Oryctolagus cuniculus: one gene and its partners. The protein of the gene in region 1 binds, or shares a complex with, the protein of each later gene. Links are inferred from orthologs where the notes say so. Each region holds a gene or a part of one and is shown on either strand. Other genes may lie near its edges.

The links.
Region 2: the proteins of KIFBP (region 1) and KIF18A are in contact, whole or in part, in a cryo-EM structure (PDB 7RSI), measured with the Homo sapiens proteins. The link is inferred for Oryctolagus cuniculus from reciprocal best matches to the Homo sapiens genes KIFBP and KIF18A. Residues at the interface, in NP_056449.1 of Homo sapiens: Ser150, Glu151, Tyr212, Tyr213, Gln216, His220, Gln238, Ile251, Asn252, Thr255, Gln258, Asn262, Gly414, Tyr415, Val459, Asp460, Leu461, Asn462, Pro463, Gln464, Leu467; in NP_112494.3 of Homo sapiens: Glu181, Thr183, Gln184, Lys185, Gly186, Arg274, Phe275, Val276, Glu277, Gly278, Thr279, Asn280, Ile281, Arg283, Ser284, Leu285, Leu288, Gly289, Val291, Ile292, Arg314, Lys317, Asp318, Gly322, Asn323.
Region 3: the proteins of KIFBP (region 1) and KIF15 are in contact, whole or in part, in a cryo-EM structure (PDB 6ZPH), measured with the Homo sapiens proteins. The link is inferred for Oryctolagus cuniculus from reciprocal best matches to the Homo sapiens genes KIFBP and KIF15. Residues at the interface, in NP_056449.1 of Homo sapiens: Lys26, Tyr33, Lys36, Ile106, Glu109, Ile147, Ser150, Glu151, Glu153, Thr208, His209, Tyr212, Tyr213, Gln216, Gln219, His220, Phe224, Gln238, Glu248, Trp249, Ile251, Asn252, Thr255, Gln258, Phe259, Asn262, Tyr415, Val416, Thr417, Glu421; in NP_064627.1 of Homo sapiens: Leu187, Glu189, Ile191, Lys192, Lys193, Arg231, Glu232, Arg235, Arg271, Met280, Arg281, Leu282, Lys283, Glu284, Ala285, Gly286, Asn287, Asn289, Arg290, Leu292, Ser293, Gly296, Gln297, Ile299, Ala301, Val303, Asp304, Val305, Gly306, His312.

The regions. Positions count from the first base shown.
Region 1 is NC_091446.1:60,775,596-60,779,660, reverse strand, and holds the start of KIFBP (KIF-binding protein), read right to left. Parts: upstream 2,809-4,065; 5' UTR 2,713-2,808; coding exon 2,287-2,712; intron 1-2,286. UniProt on the Homo sapiens protein: Activator of KIF1B plus-end-directed microtubule motor activity. Required for organization of axonal microtubules, and axonal outgrowth and maintenance during peripheral and central nervous system development.
Region 2 is NC_091432.1:38,231,573-38,235,089, reverse strand, and holds part of KIF18A (kinesin-like protein KIF18A), read right to left. Parts: intron 2,220-3,517; 5' UTR 2,180-2,219; coding exon 1,855-2,179; intron 660-1,854; coding exon 502-659; intron 1-501.
Region 3 is NC_091441.1:102,663,015-102,666,531, forward strand, and holds part of KIF15 (kinesin-like protein KIF15), read left to right. Parts: intron 1-43; coding exon 44-241; intron 242-1,309; coding exon 1,310-1,417; intron 1,418-1,593; coding exon 1,594-1,699; intron 1,700-3,108; coding exon 3,109-3,274; intron 3,275-3,517. UniProt on the Homo sapiens protein: Plus-end directed kinesin-like motor enzyme involved in mitotic spindle assembly.

The sequences.
Region 1 (4,065 bases):
ACCAGCGTTTGGAAGACTCCCTCCCCTCTCTCTGCCTCTCTGTAAGCCTGTCTTTCAAATAAACAAAATAAATCCTTAAGAAAAAAAAAAGTGACTTGGTCATTCCACAGAAACATAAAATATATCAACTCAATAATTTTATGAAAAAGTGACTTGATCTGTCCTCAGTAGTTAGCACTGTAGGTCATACTGATAATATAATGAGATTGGGCAGTTCTCTGTTCAACATTATTTACTTATTCTTTTTAACAGATTTTTTTTTATTTGACAGGTAGAGTTACAGACAGTGAGAGAGAGAGAGAGAGAGAGCAAGGTCTTCCTTCCGTTGGTTCACTCCTCAAATGACTGCCACAACTGGAGCTGCGCCGATCTGAAGCCAGGAGCCAGGTGCTTCTTCCTGGTCTCCCATGAGGGTGCAGGGCCCAAGCATTTGGGCCATCCTCCACTGCCCTCCCAGGCCACAGCAGAGAGCTGGACTGGAAGAGGAGCAGCCGGGACTAGAACCAGCGCCCATATGGGATGCCAGTGCCGCAGGCGGAGGATTAACCAAGTGATCCACAGCGGCATCGGCCTTTAACAGATTTTTTAAGATTTATTTAATTTATTTGAAAGGCCAAGTGACAGAGATGGAATAACAATAGAGAAAGAGATCTTTCATCACTGGTTCACTCCCTAAATGGCTGCAACAGCTAGGGCTGAGCTAGGCCAAAGCCAGGATCCAGGAGCCCCATCTGGGTCCCCCATGTTGACGCAGGAATACCTGCTGTCTCCCAGGGAGCACATTAGCAGGGAGCTGGATTGGAAGTGGAGCAGCCAGGACTCCACATCAGGGCTCCATGCCTCAATCAAGTATGCTGGCACTGCAAGCAGTGGTGTAACCCGCTGCGCCACAACAACCACTCCTTAAATAATTTTTAAAGTACTCATTAAGATCTGAGGTTATGGCCGGCGCCACAGCTCACTAGGCTAATCCTCCGCCTTGCGGCGCCGGCACCCCAGGTTCTAGTCCCGGTCAGGGCACCGGATTCTGTCCCGGTTGCCCCTCTTCCAGGCCAGCTCTCTGCTGTGGCCAGGGAGCGCAGTGCAGGATGGCCCAAGTCCTTGGGCCCTGCATCCCATGGGAGACCAGGAGAAGCACCTAGCTCCGGCCATCGGATCAGCGCGGTGCGCCAGCCACAGCAGGCTGGCCACGGTGGCCATTGGAGGGTGAACCAACAGCAAAAGGAAGACCTTTCTCTCTCTCTCTCTCTCTCACGGTCCACTCTGCCTGTCCAAAAAAAAAAAAAAAAAAAAAAAAAAATCTGAGGTTATATGGTTAAGGAAAACTTCAGATAACTGAAGTTTAGTTTGAATTTAACATATTACAAATTTCAATAGTTCCTCATCCACTCAAGAGATATTTAGAATCTGCACACTATGTGCCACCTACTGGGGTGAGTTTAAGAAAAGGTAGTCTCTGTTACTGTGTGGCTTTCAAATTGCTGGACCATGACAAAAGAATATGATCCAGTATGAGTTGTCTCTTAATTTTGAGGTTTGTCTTTGAGACCTACTTGCCATCAAATCCACTTTGGTAATATTCCCTCAATCACCTACACTGGGTCCTGGAACTACTGGCTGTGAGAGTAAGCAAACATCCTGGCACACACAGGAAGCTCATGCATCCTTGTATTTTCAAGAGTTTTGTTCCCAATGCAGAATGTTGGTTTATTTCTTATCAAGCACCATAAAAACGGGAATATTGTAAGTATTCAAAGGTGGTAAAGAGATCAGTCTGAACCAAAATGATCCAAAGAAAGTTACTGAAATGAGGTGATTCTTGGGATGGTTTTGAATGGGCAGGAATCCCCCGGGGGGGCGAACCAATGTAGCAACGGAAACTGAAGACTTCAGACATTTTGTTTTGAATTATTAATGTTTTACGGTCACTGTCATTTCCACGACACCTTAAGTTAAGATTTACATTAGTCTGGATTTTAACAGAATGACCAGTCTCTGGACAGCGGAGAGCCGGCGGGCACATGACACGCAGGAGGGCCCCGGAAACCAGCGTGCTGCCCGTGGGCAAGCGAGGCATGGAGAGGGAGTATGGAAGCCAGCGCAGGGGGATGCGGTTACACGGCTCCAAGTCCTAAGGCTGGCCTTTCCCACCGCTTCAAACACACGAGCAGAAGTCGTGCCATATCTAACACGGCCCGGAGCGGGGGCTCCTCTCCACGCCCTCGCCTCGCACGGCCCGGGGCCGGCTCTGGGGGCTGCACGGCGGCCGGCCGGGCTCGCTCTCACCTGCGCCTGGATGTAGAGGGAGATGCAGCCGTGCGAGAGCCGGTACCTGCGCAGCAGCCGCAGGCATTTCACCAGGTGCTCCTCGCCCGCCGACAGCTCCTCGGTGTCGATGTGGTTCACCCCGAGGTGGAACTCTATAACCGCCAGCCTGACCGCCCGCTGGGCGACGGGCCCTTCGGCCTCCACCACCTCCGTGGGCAGCCCCAGGGCGTGGTCCCCAGCGCCCAAGCCCTCGTCGGCCTGCAGCCGCTCATCCTCGTCGTCGGGCGCGGGGCCGAGCAGCGCCTTGACCTCTTCCAGCAGCGCTCTGGCGCTGTATTTGGACTTGTACGGTTCCTTCTCCGGGTTTTTATGCAGTTCCACTCGCGACAGGGCCAGCGCCGCCTGGAATTTCTCTCGGACCTCGGCCCACTGCGCACTCGCCATAGCGGCCCCTACAGCCGGGGCTTTCTCAGTGTTTGCAGTCGGGACTCCCGCCTTCCTTCTGCTTTGCGACACTTCACTTACGGCTCTCGACAGGTCGGGCTGCGGCAGATCGGCAGCCAATTAAAGTCCGCTTGGGGAACCGCAATAGGTTCGGCAGTGACCAATGGGAAGGCGAGGTGGTCGCCATGGCAACTGCTGTCTAGAAAATAGGTCCCCGAGGGTGTCCCCGCCTCCAGCCCCGCCCCACTACGTCGTGGTGTCGTCTCCTGTTAGTTCACCCTGTGAAGTGTGTGTATGTATAGTGCATATTAAAATGTTTAATATCCGCTTACTTTACCGAAACGTTTTGGAATATAGTTTACAAAAATATCAGGGCCGGCATTGTAGCGTAGCGGGTTAGGCCCCCGCCTGTACCCCCGGCATCCTGTATGATCACCGGTTCGAGTCCCGGCTGCTCCACTTCAGTCAAGCTCCCTCCTAATGTGCCTGGAAAAGCAGTGGAAGAAGCTGCCTCCACGAGTGGGAGACCTGGATGAAGCTCCTAGCTCCCTCCTGGACCAGCCCTGGCCATTGCAGCCATTTGGAGAATGAACCAAGCCGATGGAAGATTTGTCAGTCTCTTGCTCTCTCTGTAACTCTGCCTTTCAAATAAAAAATAAATAAAAAAAATTTTAAAAAAGAAGGAAAATAGCTAATGGATGTAAACTGGAAGGCAACCGACCTTTGAGATTAAGGTATACCCCACCCATCGCTGGTTAAGTTTCTTTGGAAAAGGCTCTGCTCTCTAACAGGGATCGCTTACTAGGACATGAATTCTTGATGGAAAGTTATGGATAGGAGCACTCACCGGTAGGTACCTATTTCACTGAGCCTGGAATACAGAGGTGAACTGCCCGAGGTAACAGGCTGGAAGACCGGTTACCACTGAAGTAACCAAGTGGGAAAGGGAGACTTTTACCAAGCTCTAGCCACATGAAGTGCCTTGAGATAGGTATTTTTATTTTTTTAATTATTTTTATTTTATTTATTTATTTATTTATTTGACAGGCAGAGTGGACAGTGAGAGAGAGAAACAGAGAGAAAGGTCTTCGTTTTGCCGTTGGTGCACCCTCCAATGGCCGCTGCGACCGGTGCACCGCGCTGATCCGAAGGCAGGAGCCAGGTGTTTCTCCTGGTCTCCCTTGGGGTGCAGGGTCCAAGCACTTGGGCCATCCTCCACTGCACTCCCTGGCCACAGCAGAGAGCTGGCCTGGAAAAGGGGCAACCGGGACAGAATCTGGTGCCACGACCGGGACTAGAACCCGGTGTGCTGGCGCCGCAAGGCGGAGGATTAGCCTAGTGAGCCGCGGCACC
Region 2 (3,517 bases), on another chromosome or scaffold:
GCGCAGCAACAGCCGTAGTGGCCATTTGGGGGTGAACCAACGGAAGGAAGACCTTTCTCTCTGTCTCTCTCTCTCACTGTCTAACTCTGCCTGTCCAAAAAAAAAAAAAAACAACAAATGGCCACCATGGCCGGCGATCCGAAGCCAGGAGCCTGGTGCTTCCCCCTGGTCTCCTATGTGGATGCAGAGGCCCAAGCACCTGGGCCATCCTCCACTGCCTTCCTGGGCCACAGCAGAGAGCTGGACTGAAAGAGGAGCAACCGGGACTAGAACCCGGCGCCCATATGGGATGCCAGCGCCGCAGGCAGAGGATTAACAAAGTGAGCCACAGCGTCGGCCCCATAAAAAATTAACCCTAAAAAAATGTACAATAAATACTCCAGACCAGGAATTTTAATGAATTTATATATTGAAAACTCTTGTGCAATAAAATAGTTTTAATGAACCATAACAAAGATTTCTCAAAACTATTAATTTAAACAAATGAAACTGCCAGCTTACCTCCAGATAAGAGACTGCAGTACTGCATACTTTCTCTTCTTTAATTTCATCCATGGATTTGTAAAGGTCTAACATCGTTAGGTACATCACTCCAGGTTCACCAACTGATCCTAGCATTGTGTGGGTCTTCCCAGCTCCAGTGGCCCCATAGGCAAGTACTGAATTTTTATGAAAAGGAATCAAAGCTCTTTGTTATGACATGTAACACTCTCCTATGCACTGACAAGTGGATAGTTCCATCTGGATATTCTTTACAGTAACTTTAAACCTAACAGATCCAAATTTGATTAATGCTCAAAACCTGGGAATTCTAGCACAAATCTCTTACACCCATATTCCATTGTGATTAATGCTACCATCACCCAGCACCTCCTACTCCAAACTTGTGCCCTTTCTTCCAAAGTAGTCTTGTAAATTTTAACCAATCATGGATCTCCCTACCTATTAGTCTCAGTCTTCTATTATCCATCCCTTGGGATTCATACTAAAATCATCTTCAGCAAAATGGGATCCAATTATGTTAAACTTTCCATTTAGTCTCATATTCCTACATGAGAAATTCAAATTCCCCACCTTGGAAAAATGATAAATCACTCTAAGGGAAGGTGCTTGTTTATTTTTCCAGGTTTATTTCTTATTTCTAGATGTATTAGATTCAATGTTTTCAGCATTTGCTGCTCCTTTTCTATACCACTGTCTTTGAGGGGTGTCTTGGAGAAATGTTATACAAACTTTTAACTATGAAAATATGATATTAATAACATAACAGCCATGCATTTCCTAAAATGTATAAATTGAATTAACTGACTATTAAGGGTCTCATTTATTCTAGGATCAACAGTAATTTGAAAGGAAAATTACTATAGCCTCTCCAAAGCATTAGACTTTTTGGGCTCTGATATCCTAAAATGGCACAAAATATTCAGATAAGATGAACTTTTAATATTTTTATTTCAATGTATCATCAAGATAAACAGTGTTGCAATGATATTACTAAGTATTCAGAAAACCAGGACTACTACCCCAGAGATAGATAATTGTAGAGGTCAGCAGTGGGTATATTTAGGAATACAAATTTTGAGAACTCCACTGTAAACTGCCAGAAATATGTGGTTTAATAATATAGGAAACAGAAAGGATTAAATCTATAGGGGACACAATGAGACCACAGGAAACAAAGTCTCACAATTGATATATGTTATATACAATGGCAAAATTTTAAAGAAAGTCTATTTTGTCATTTGTCTGCTGAACTTTACCACAGAAGCATCTTAATAAGGGCCAACTATATGATTTTCCTATATAAAACTGCAATCCAAATGGAGAAATTGAATGCCAAACTGAAACAATTACCTGTGCAATTATATCCATTCAAAAAACTACGAAGAATTGGCTTAGTTGTTTGTTCAAAAACTTCCAATTGAGTTGAAGTTTCATCAAAAACAGTATCAAATACAAATTTAAGATCTTTATTTTGTCTCTTTGTAATATCAAAATTTGTAGTTTTCTTTTTATGAAAAAAACTGATTTCTTCTTGTTTGGGATCAAAAAGTAGTATATGTTTATCCACAACATGGACCACTTTACGGAATCCAGCTGCCTTTTCCTTTGTGTTTTCAGGACGTACACGAACAACTACTTTCATGTGGTGACACAGGTCTTCTTCAGTGGCAGACATTGTTGATTATCTTGATTTCTGACTATACCTAGATCTTTCTCTAAAATTAAAAAAAAGTTTCATTATTAGTTCTACTTATTGTATTCATTTGAATACATTCATTTGAATACAATTCATTCATTTGAATACAATATACTATTGTGTAGTATTCATTTGAAAAAGGTATCAATTCTGTTCTACTCACCTAGTAAATGTTACTGGGGAAAAAAAAAATACATGCATTTACATATCCTCAAACAAAAAGTTAAATGGCACACATGTACACAAAACCAAGAAAAAAACCCTCTTCATCTGAATTATTAGTCAGATCCTGGGCTTCAGATTAAACTCAAATACTATGGATGAACCTCATGTAATCAGTTATGCTACCCACAAATCCCAGCTCTGACATTCACAAGGGGTCTACTACTATTTTAGCTTGGGTCCTGAGAATGGAAAGCAAACGATCATTCAGAATCATATCAAGCAAATGCCGAGAGAGCTTTAGCTTGTGAGCTATTTTTAGTAAAGCGATCGTGGTTGCAGAACTCTTGGTAGAGAAAAGTGATGCATCCAGTTGATCTTAACATTATCTCAGAATCTCATCGGGTTAAAAATAGTTCCAAGGATGCATCAAGTAGCTAGCTAAGGTGTGAGATTGACAGAGATGGTATATACTCTTTGGTACATTCATAGATCCTAATCTCTGCTGGCTAATGATAATGGACATAAAAAATTGTGGTTTGACCTTCTAACTACCTCACATGAAAAGATTAAAGGTAAACTAACAAAGATCAATAATTTGGAAGTCTCAATTATTCAGATATTAATCTAGAACCTGAAAGTTATAACAAATAAACACCAAAACAACATTTGAGAAAAGACTTGAAGTTGTTGAGGGACTAAATGCAATCTATTAATCCCACTTCTGGGAATATATCCAAAGGAACAAAAACCAGTAATATTGAAGAGCTGTCTTAACTCTGATGTTCACTGCAATACCAGTCAAAATAACCAAGATGTGGAAACACTTAAGTGCCTACCAATAGATGAGTGGCTATGGTAAATTGGGGTATATAAACAAAGTGGAGTACTATTCAGCCTTACAAAAGAATGGAATTCTGTTATTTGTGACAAACATGGATGAATATAGAGGATATTATCTCAAGTGAGTTAAACCAAGCACAGAAAAACAAAAATTGTATGATCTCACTTACATATAGAATCTTTAAAATTTGAACTCAGAATTACAGTTGAATGATGATTACCAGAGGCTAGGGGTGGGGGTAGGCATAGGATGTGTGGAGAAAGGTGCAAGGTTAATCAAAAGGGTACAAAGTTTTAGTTTGAGAAGATGAA
Region 3 (3,517 bases), on another chromosome or scaffold:
CATGTGTGCTAATGTTGTTTTCCATAATCATTTTCTGCTGCAGATTATAACTACACCAACCAAGGCTTATCAGCTTCGTTCTCTGCTGGTGCCAAAAATGAGCCCTGAAATAGGGAGCTTTACTCCTGCGCACACTGAGGAGTCCAGCAAAGTAGATAATGACATCGCAAATGAGCCCATTCCCCCTGAGATGAGCGAGCAAGCATTTGAGGCCATTTCAGAAGAGCTGAGAACAGTGCAGGTAATGCTTAGTTTTAGAAATAGTAAATAATTGAACACTTATTTAAATAAAGTTGCTTTATCTGCCATTTTACCTCCCTGTAATTTGTGCTGTTCAAACCTGCTTAGTGCTGTAATTGTCTTGCTAAGTCTGCGTATGTAAAGGTCCCTGGCTAGGAAATCAGCCTGCCCTTCTCTTTTAATTCACTTTGCAGTCTTTAGCAAGTCATTTTCCAACCTCTGTGGATTTAGTTCCTTCATGCATAAAATGACCAGACTGCCACAAGCAAACCAGTTCCAGAACTGACGTGTATGGCATGATGCTGAGTCTTGTACAGAGAGTGAAAATAATTTGAAAAACTGTTACACATGAGATGTTTGACAGCTTTTAGAGTATTTGAAATAACATGTGAAATTTGATTATTTCAGAATTTAGTCATTTGGCGATTTTTTCACAAAGCTGTCCAATAAAACTTGGAATGGACCAGACTGCTCCCCATCCCAAGTCTGCCCCTCCCAGGCCTTGGACGTCCTTGGATGAGGTTATCTCTTGCAACCTGAGGAAGCTTCTTAGAAGTCTCAGGTGGCATTTGGTTTAACCCAGGATATAAAATTGTTTTAAAGTTTTTACTTATTTTATTTAATTGAAAGATAGCGCTCTTACCTGCTTGTGCACTTAAATGCCCATAACAGCTGGGTCTGGGCCAGGCCAAAGGGAGGAGCCTGGAACTCAGTCTAGGTCTCCCACATGGGTGGCAAGGACCCCAGTACTTGCCCCAGCCTCTTCAGTATGGGATGAGGGAATCTCAAATGACATGTTAACTGCAGCCCCAAATGCCCACCCCAGGATGTCAGTTTTAATCACTCTGTCCTCTGTGTTTCACTTGTTACCTTTGATGGAGGGTGTTCTGAAGCATGAGACACTCTATAGCCTTTTGAAATGGTTTTCTACCCCCAGTCAGGCCTTGGATACCTTTTTTCAGTGAAACTTTGAGTTTGCTTTGTGTGTGGTCTCTAATGCAGAAGAAAAGGTGGGGTGGTTGAGAATTCCATTGGGAGAACTTTGGTGACTGAAGTCTCTGTGTTGCAGGAACAAATGAGTTCTCTTCAAGTCAAGTTGGACGAAGAAGAGCACAAAAACCTGAAGCTGCAGCAGCATGTCGACAGACTGGAGCATCACTCCACACAGATGCAGGAGGTGAGACAGGCGCCATGTGCCCCATGGCCTCAAAGACAGAGCCCATGGGAGGCCATGATGTCAGCTGCACGTTCTGCCCTGAGAAGGAGACAGAGAGCACAAAACAGGTTAAGGATCTGCAGCGTGTCGTGGCTGACCAGTGTTCCTTTTCCAATAAATGCATGTTTTTCCCAAAGCTTTTCTCATCAGAAAGAACTGATTGGGCCAAACAGCAGCAGGAGCATCTCTCACAGTTGAACATCCTTGACAAGCAGCTGCGAGACACTCAAACCAAGAATGACTGTAAGTGAGAGCGCCGACGGGCTTTGTGGCTCTGTTCATTTACATAATGCTGCCCTGGCTTTTGCTTGGTTCCATTTCACTGTTACTTGTCGTGAGATGACTAGACATAAGCTGTGTGTGTGGTAGCTGAGTAGTATATCATAAAAGGTAGTAATTACCTTCAGCATTGTCAACACATAAATGATTCAATTGTTTGCTTAAAGTTTTAAGTAAACTGCTTTGAGAATGAAGTCTCTTCAATTCATAAGATGAATATTTTGCTATTGACAACAACACATAAATTAGAGACTTGTAGATATTTGTAGATGTGAGAATCTTATTTGATGGCTAGTTTTTTATTTCTCCCTTCATCAGAGTATGTGCAAGTAGTTTATAATACAGCTAAAATGAAAGCCGATCTGTTTCCTTTAGAGTTATTTATTTATTTGAAAGGTAGAGTTAGAGAGAAAGAAGGAGAAGCAGAGATCTTCTATCTACTGGGACTCCCCAGATGGTCACAATGGAAGGGCTGGGCCAGGCCGAAGCCAGGAAGAGCCTGAACTCCATCCTGATCTCCCACGTGGGTGGCAGGGACCCGAGCACTTGGGCCATCTTCTGCCGCTTTCCCAAGTGCATTATCAGGGAGCTGGATCAGAAGTGAAACAGCTAGGACATACATCAGCACCCCATGTGGAAAGCTGGTGTCGCAGGCAGCGACATAACACTACACCAGGGTGCCAGCCCCATTTTTGTTTAATTACCTAATTATATTTGCAAGTGGAGTCTCATTAGGACACCAGAAATGCTTAACCTGTATTGTGAAGTTCTGATACATTTCCAAGGGATTTGTAATTCATGAGATTATATTGGGGCCGCCGCTGTGGCGCAGCAGGTTAACGCCCTGGCACGAAGCGCCAGCATCCCATATGGGCGCCGGTTCTATTCCTGGCTGCTCCTCTTCCCATCCAGCTCTCTGCTGTGGCCTGGGAAAGCAGTAGAAGATGGCCCGAGTCCTTGGACCCCTGCACCCATGCGGGAGACCCAGAAGAAGCTCCTGGCTCCTGGCTTTGGCCTGGCCCAGTCCAGTTGTTGCAGCCATTTGGGGAGTAAACCAACAGATGAGAAACCTTTTTCTCCAACTCTGCCTTTCTAATAAATAAGTCTTTAAAAAAATTTTTTTTGATGCACATTCTGTGGGAGAAATCTGCAGAAGTCTAGTTACCTGTGAGCTGACTCTTCCTTTTTGATAGAAATGTTTCAAAAAGCATAAGCAGGGAAGAAGAAAATGAGAAGAGACAGGCCCCTCTCTGAAAGAGGTCCCTTACCTTGAATGTGCGGATTTGGCAAGGGGACCTCCCGAGTTCATTTGCCTACTTTATGAAACACACTGGTGAAGATCGCCGTTGAGGATTTGTTTTGTTTCTGCTTAGTCCTGAGGAGCGAGGTGCATGACCTGCGGGTGGTGCTTCACTCTGCCGACAAGGAGCTGTCCTCTGTGAAACTGGAGTACAGCGCGTTCAGAGCGCGCCAGGAGGAGGAGCTCAGCCAGCTTTCCGAGAGGCACGTGCACGTCCAGCTGCAGCTCGACAGCGTCAGGTACCCAGCTTCCTCTGCGGCTCCAGGCTGTTGCTTGGCTGTGACCTAGGACTGCTGGAAATACACGTGTTGTAAGTCCAGCGCACGCTGGGGAGTGCAGAGGGGATAAACTAGCCTGCAGCTCAGGATCGTCGGTCTCTCTCTGTCTCAGCCCCGCTTCCCTCTGTGGGGTGTGCTTGTTTTCTGCTGCACTGAGGACCAGCCTCGAGGTGACAAGGAGCAGTATGCCTCAGACAGATAGCT